Struthio camelus: one gene and its partner. The protein of the gene in region 1 interacts with the protein of each later gene in a pairwise test. Links are inferred from orthologs where the notes say so. Each region holds a gene or a part of one and is shown on either strand. Other genes may lie near its edges.

Evidence for each region. The genes of interacting proteins can lie anywhere in the genome.
Region 2: the proteins of NPAS2 (region 1) and BMAL2 interact in binary tests that used the Homo sapiens proteins (3 or more experiments, as listed by UniProt). The link is inferred for Struthio camelus from reciprocal best matches to the Homo sapiens genes NPAS2 and BMAL2.

Annotation. Positions count from the first base shown.
Region 1 is NC_090942.1:152,097,665-152,101,407, reverse strand, and holds the start of NPAS2 (neuronal PAS domain-containing protein 2), read right to left. Parts: upstream 2,530-3,743; 5' UTR 1,394-2,529; coding exon 1,116-1,393; intron 1-1,115. UniProt on the Homo sapiens protein: Transcriptional activator which forms a core component of the circadian clock.
Region 2 is NC_090942.1:77,266,480-77,270,222, reverse strand, and holds the start of BMAL2 (basic helix-loop-helix ARNT-like protein 2), read right to left. Parts: upstream 2,295-3,743; 5' UTR 2,095-2,294; coding exon 2,034-2,094; intron 1-2,033. UniProt on the Homo sapiens protein: Transcriptional activator which forms a core component of the circadian clock.

The sequences.
Region 1 (3,743 bases):
TACGGATCAGCGGATGAACCGGCTCCGTCCAGAAACTGTGAACGCTGATTATTTAGTACCACCAAACAAACTCCAACCACGGTGGGGTACAAATTAACATTTCACGCAGGGGTAAGAGCGAGAGAATTTTCCACTTCAGGATCCAGCCACTTGTTGAGCGTGCGCCGAAAGCTCACGTTAGCCATGCTCCTCCGGGGGAATCCCATAGCCCTTCTGGAGATTTAGCACCATGAAAAGATTAAAGTTCCTCTGCTGGCTGCAATGCTTATAACCGCTAATTATTTCTGAGTCACTTGAGTGAAAGTAAACTGCTATCCTGCAGACAGTTAAGGAGTACCCAGTAAAGTTTACGGATGAGCGTGCTTGCTAATTGCCAAATCAGACTAGCGACCATACAGGAAAGCCTCACCGCACAACTCCGCATGAAAGACGTGCCGTGTTGCCGCTCGGCCGTGTATTTAACATTTCTCCCCCCCCAGTTCTGCGCACGAAAGGAAAGCAAGCAGGAGCCTGGCACACGGTTTCAGCAGCAGGGCTCCTGCAGCAAAGGACACAACCTCTGGTCCCCACCACGAACCTTCACCCATGCAAAAATCCCATTGCTCTTACTGGAAGTTTTCCTCGCCTGAACCGTGCCAGGTCCCTTCTCAGCCCCTGCGCCGGTCTAGCCTGAACGAGCCTATGGCGGCAGCAAATTGCAAACTACACCAAAACGAGATGGGGGCGGGGGGCATTTTATTTCGCTCAGACTGATGGGCCAAGCCTGCTCTGCACCAGGTCTCGCTGGCGGCCGGGCCAGGCCGCATGGGCCCGTCCCCGCAGGGACCGGCTGCCCCCAGCGCGGGCCACGCGGAAACTTTCCCGCGGCGGAAGCGATGCCGCCCGCGCCGCCGGACACGCTGCTCCCCCCTCTCCCCCCGCGCGGGGAGCGGCGCCGACCCCAAACCACCCTGCCGCGAAGAGGGGCGCCGCGGGGCCGGCCCTTACTCACGGAGCCCGGGAAGAGCGCGGGAGGTGGGGGGGGTGCGAGCGCGGCGCGTGGGCGTCCTGCGTGGGCGCCGCGGGTGGACGCGGCGGGGGGGGGGGTCGGTGCCGGCGGCAGGGCCGCGCGTTACCTGGGGTGCCGGGGCTGCGGGAGGGCGGCGGGGAAGCCCCAACCGCCGCCGCCGCCGCCGCTGCTGCTGCTGTCCGCGGTGGCCACCTGGGCGCGGGAGCCGCCGGTGCCGCCGCTTTTCCGGTGCCTGCCGGTACCGCTGCGGCAGCGGCCGCCGCTGCTGCTCCAGCCGCTCGGCAGGCCGGCCTCGGGAGCCGGCAAACTCTTCCTCGCAGCCGACGAGCCGGGGACGCTGCCCGCCGCCGCCTGCCTGCCGCCGGTGCCGGTGCCGTGTCTCATGGTGCGCGGGGCCGCCGCATGCCGCGCTGCCGCCTGCCCGGGCGCCGCGGGACCCACGCGCGCCGGGGCCAGGGGCTCCGCCGGCAGCGGGAGGCCGCCGGGAGCCCGGGCTGCTGCCGAGGGGGGGGGAGGAGGAGGAGGAGGAGGAGGGGGAGGAGGCCGGGGGGGACCAGGGGGGCTGCTGGCTCGGGCTCCCGCTGGTGCATTAAGTTAAATGCGCGGCCGGGAGGGGCAGGGCGGGCGCGGGGACTGCGGGGCCGATAGTTCTCCGCAAAGTTGGAGCCCCGCGGGCGAGGCGGGGGCATCCTCTCCGCGGGTCCTTCATCGCCGTCCTCCTCCTCCTCCTCGTCGTCGTCGTCGTCGTCGCCGGCGGGCTGCCGCCCCGCACCCTCAGCCGGCGGCGCTGGGGGGGCGCGCCCCACGCCCCGCGCCCATGGGGAGCCGCGGCCGCGGGGGCTGGCGGCGGCGCGCAAGGGCCGTGCTCGCCCGCGCCGGCTTCCTCTCTACCAGGGAAGGAAAGGGGTGGGGGGGGGAGCCCAAACCCGACGCTTGTGTGCAAAATGGGTCAGGGAGGGGGGAAAAGGGGAGCTGCGGATTGCGTGCCCCCTCCCCTCTTTGGAGAGCGGCGGGCTTTGGGGAGGGACGGGCTGGGGAGGTGGGTAGCGAAAGGGCTGCAGAGGAGCTCTCCCTCCCCGTCTCCGTTTGCACAAGTGCAGGGAATGTTCCACTGACCTACATATTTTTCCAAACATACGTGACCTTTTTTTTTTCTCTCTCTCTCTCTCTCTCTCTCTCTCGTTCTGTGGGAGGAGACAGGCGAAGATCCAAGAAAAGGAGAAGCTGGAAAGAGAACGAAAGGGGAAGCAGGGGAAAAAAAAAAAAATCAACCAAAAACCCAGCCCGAAATCAAGGATGGTTTCGCAACGCCTCGAGCAAAGCCCGGCGTGCCTGCATTTACGTATGTCTATAGCTATAACCCGGCGGTCACCGGCGGCCGCCCCTATAGCCTGACCCCAGGAGGCGCCTCCACGCCAGCCGCCCACGGTGCCGCCGTCCCCGCCGGGCAGGGCTGCGCCCAGGTGCTCTGCTGCCCGGGGCTGCCGGCCCGGCCCGGCCCGGCTCGGCTCGGCTCGGCACAGCCCGCCCCGGCTGGCACGGCTTCGCCTGGCGGACTGCGGACACCCACTCCCCCCGCCCCAGCCGCTCGCCCCCGGGCAGGGGCAGGCAGCCCCGGCCGGCGGAGGGGTGACCGGGGGGCGGCCCCGGCTCCGTGCCCGTGGGTGGCCGCGGGAGCCCAGCCGGGCCGGGCCGGGCCCCGCAGCACGGCGCTGCCCCGGGGCAGGCTCTCCGCCTCGCCGGGCACGGGGCAGTAATTCCCGATTTGGTTATGCAACGCCGTACCGGCAATTAGAGCAAAACCTTGACAGAGAGCTGCTTTTTTTTTTTTTTTCTCCCCCCAAAGTAGGTCATTCTTTTTATTCCCCACTTTGCATTATTTTTGCCTAATACTCCTCCTGAAACGTAGCCAGTGTGAGATAAGGAAATATGCTGGAGCCTAGGAGGGGCCGTTTATTTTGGGGCTCGCTTTCTCCCCGCTGGGCAGTCAGTCCTGCTGTCTTCTGCCTGGGGCAGCGAGCAAGGCCGAGGGGCTGCCCCCCGGGACAGGAGGGCAGCAGTGGCAGCGGCGTGGGGACACGGCACTGCCCCCCTCATTTCCCTGGTGTGTGCCGAGACCCGCTGCTCCGGCACCTGCCGACAGCAGCAGGAGCCGGGGCCGGGAGCCCTGCCACCACGGCCGGCTCTGCAGGGAGCCCGGGCTTCACCCCTTGCCCCGCAGCCCCCGCCACACCCGGGGCTCCCGGCTCTGCTCTGTGTCTGCACGGCCAAAAAAACCCATTGCTCTGCTGGAGAAAGGCCTGGAGTAGGTACTTCTTGCACCTGCCAAAGGGTTGGCCTGCTAGCACGAGGTATTTGCTTTTTAGGGTAGCCGTTTCTGTTGTTGAGAGCAGTGAGGAAAAGCCCCGTAGGCTGGTGCCAGCTGTGTCTCCACCAGCAGGTCCTGCTATACCTGTGGCAGCAGAGTTGGTGTGGTGGGAGCTGTTTCCCTTCTCCTTTGCTCTGTTCTGCCTCGTTATCAGAGACACGTTAAGCCATGTAAAATAATAGCCAGCAGAGACCTCTCTGCCCACACCAAGTCTGCCTGTGTGGGCGCAGTGTGTGGGTTGAAGGTTGCTCCAGCCACCTGGCTCCAGAAAAGAGCCTCGCGGCTTTGCACAGCTATATGGCCTTTGCAGCTACCCCAGTTATCCTGCGGTGACACCCAGCGTCCCCCACCCCACCCCCCCCCCCG
Region 2 (3,743 bases), about 75 Mb from region 1:
AGCCCTTGAAAGGTCACCCTGCTTCCCCAGACACTTCCAGGGTCAAATCAGGTCACTGATAGAAATCTAGAGTCTCATGTATCTTAGTTCATTACTAAAAAAAAAAAAAATCTCTCCGATCATATATTGCTAAAGAAATTGAGGCTAGCAGCTCTCTTGTAAGTTTTAGAACCAAATTTTTTTTTTTTTTTGAGTAAAATGATAACTTTGTCAAGTTTGCAGTAGAACTTCCGTGGTTTAACGGGCCCAGTTGTCAAAGAAGGGAATTTTCAGAGTATTGATATTGATTCACTTCCCACAATCACCCACAAAGTGATTTTCTTCTTACAGTGAATTAGACTCTTTAGCTGATGTGAACTGCCCAGTCCGGAGTTTGCTTTTCCTAATATGCAATAGTAAGAAAAAGATGTTGTTAAAATGAAAAACTGCTAAGCTGACCTATTCCAATCTTTAGGTCCTTTATACAAGTTAAAAAATTTACACCTTTTAAAATGTTAATTGATTAACAGAAAGAGACTCTGTTTCTTCAAAATATGTTAGAAGAATTAGTAGAAGCATAAATAACAAAAGAAATCAGAGCAGGCGGAATTCTTTCACAATATAACATAAAAACCTACTGTTCATTGCTTTCCCATGGATACTTTCACATGGAAAAGTCCACATATTTTGATTTTTCTTCATTTAGATTATTTCCTTTTCTTACAATATGTGTATGATACAGAAACAAATTCTTAACACAATTTCATAGACAGCAAAAAGAAAAAACCCCTACAAAAAAACCTTTACTTTCAAAAACTAGATTACTTATTACAAAATTATACCAGTATTTAAACAACCAAGCAACAACTAATCTTCATAATTCAGAAACACAGAGATGGAAAAAATACCAACTACTGAGACAACCAGAACCCCCACATATATATAAAAAAAAAAAAACCACATACATACGAATCCCCCAAATACACATTAAAAAGACAACAACAAACCCAGAAGAACTGGTGCTAACTAAACAGAACAGCAATGATGACTTATGAACGATTTGCTCACTTCTGTAGCTCAAAACTCCGTGCAAAACATCTTTTTTTTTCCTCCTCAGATCAACATTTTGAAAGGAGGAAGCAACATACTCATTCCTGCAGCAGGAGGAGCACAAACAGCTGCTGCTGGCTTAACACTAGCCCCGTTTTAGCACCAGAAACTTATGAAGGAGGAGGAATGTCAAACCTCTGCCTCTATACAAGTGCACACACACACACTCACACAGAGAAGCCAAATTCACTACACTCAAAAGTCTGAATTACATCCGCCTGCAGGAAAAAAAAATACTAACACATTAGGGACACATAAAACAATTAGTTGTATATCAGAAAGTGTGTATTACATACTAAGTTAAATACACAGAAAGAAAAATATTTTTAGTGCAGATCACTGAGGTATGATGACACATCTGTAACAGTAATAACAAACCTAAGCAGAGTGTAAACGTTTCTTTGGGAGCCCACAACCTAACACCACTGTGTACCTTAACTAGACTTAAACTAACTGTACCCTAACTGAACTAAACGGGAGAAATCGTTACTCGAGTCCAGGTCAACACGCTGGGGGCCAGAGTATGAACAGCCCCAATTCAGAATACACAGCCCCATGCTGGAAGCATAACCGCTGCGCTGAGGGAAAACAGCGGCCTAAGGGGGCTCCTACCCACGCGGGAAGGTTACACCCCCACCACCACCAACAACGGCCACGCACGGACTGCAGACACGCGCCCTTACCTCCCCGCCCCCCCCCGGCACCAAGGGGCACACAAGCCCCCTCCTCCCCTACCACACCCCACACACCCCCACCCCGCACCACTCACGCACCCACGGACACCCCGACACCCGCGCGCGAGTCCCGCCCGTTACAACACCTCCCCCCCCTTCTTTCGCCCCCCACAGCCGTTACCCCGCCGCCGGGGGCACCCCGCCCCCCGCCTCCAACGGCTGCTCCCCCCGCCGCGGCGCGCGCGCCCCCGTCGCTCCCCCCCCCCCCACCTTCCGTCGCCCGCCGCTCCTCCTCGGCCCCCTCGGCGTTTCCCGCTCCTGCCTCGGCCATGGCGGGCTGCCCGTGCCCCGCTCCACAGCGCCCCCGCCACCATGCAGGAGGTAAACTAAGGTGAGCAGAAACCGCCCGTCCTGCCCCCCTGCTCGGCGCGGGGTTGGGGTTGGGGGGGAAAGGGGGAGGGGAGGAGAAGGTCCGCAAGCGCCTCCACAGGCTCCCTCCCCTCCTCCCGTCACCGGCGCCGCCTCAGCAGCGCCCCCGCCGGCGCCATACCCTCCCCCCGCCCCGCCCCGCCCCGCCCCAGCCCTGCCCTGCCCGGCAGGACACTTCTCGCGAGACTTCCGGCCGGGCGGAGGCGGGAGGGGGAGGTGCTGCCGCCCGGCGCGCGCAGGGTGCGGGGGGAGGGGACCAACGGCCGCTGGGGCCTCCCCCCCGCCACAGGAGGGGCCGGGAAGGAACAACGGGTGAAGGCGGTTGGCCGCCTGCGGCCTTCTGGGCGTGCGGCTGCCCCTCAGAGCGGGGCACAGAACAGGCAGGCGCACGAGTACGCGCTGACACACAAAAATAGAGTTAGCTTTGACTAACAGGTGAAACTGGGTGAATGGACCTGGGTTCCAGTAGATGCTCGGGGTGTAGTTGTGTGTTCAGCTTATCGGGAGCGCGCTTTTGAAGCGAATCTGCCCGTCGTCCTCGCCGTGGTTTGGTTCACATCCTGGAGTGGTCTGGGAGCACGCGAACCATATTCTTTTTGCGTGAAACCTAAAGAAGCGCTGTTAAGAGCTCACTTAACGTGGCCCAACTGCTAACGGGCTCTCGCTCCCTGGGACCTCACTGGAGCTAGTCTGAAATACAGCCTCTAGGACACCTGCAGCGCGGACGTTGGGACCTCAGCAACACGGGGATTCACTTGACAGAACCGCTCTTACTGAGGAGCCCAACGTGTTGATGTTGATGTAGCCTCTACCCGCCCAGTTCCAGGTCTGTGTGCGGCAGAACAGACTGTTGCCAAGGCCTCAGACTTCCTCGCCTGAGCCATCTGAATGGGCTGAGCACGTGCCTGCTGCTACCTGTTGAACTCCCATGTGAGGGAATTTGCATGTACAGTGCAGCTGGTGTTGCTCATCAGCAGTAAGGCCGGAACCAGATGATCGGGGACCTATGTGAAGGAAGCTGCTTCTCCAGGTGTACTGTACAGTGGACTTGCAGAGCTCGCGCCTATTATTAGTCGTAGGGGTTCTTTTCGACTTAACAAGATGTGCTAATAAAGATGGAACAGCAGGCTCACTGACTTCATGCCTAAATAAAGGGTGCACGTAGATTACCCTGCAGATGCATGTGTTAACCTAGGACTTAGTCACTGAAGGCTAGTTCCATTGAATGCTTCTCTTTTACAATTCAGTATCTCAAGGGTTGCAAAGAATATGGCATTCTTTCATCATCTGTCCTATTGGTTAATATCTAAACTGTTGAAGTTTATATCTTTCAGCTACAGAGCAAGTGGTTGGTTTATTCGGGTCTGGAAACAACAAAATTACTCTTACTATAAGAAGAAAAACATCCTTTCCTGAAAGTGAAAAGAAAAATGTGCAAAGTACACCAAAAAGGTTGGATTACTTTTAATCAAAGGAAGACTATTATTTACATAAGGATTTTCATAATTGACTATATTAATCCCATATGTTGTGGGAAAATACATGTACGTC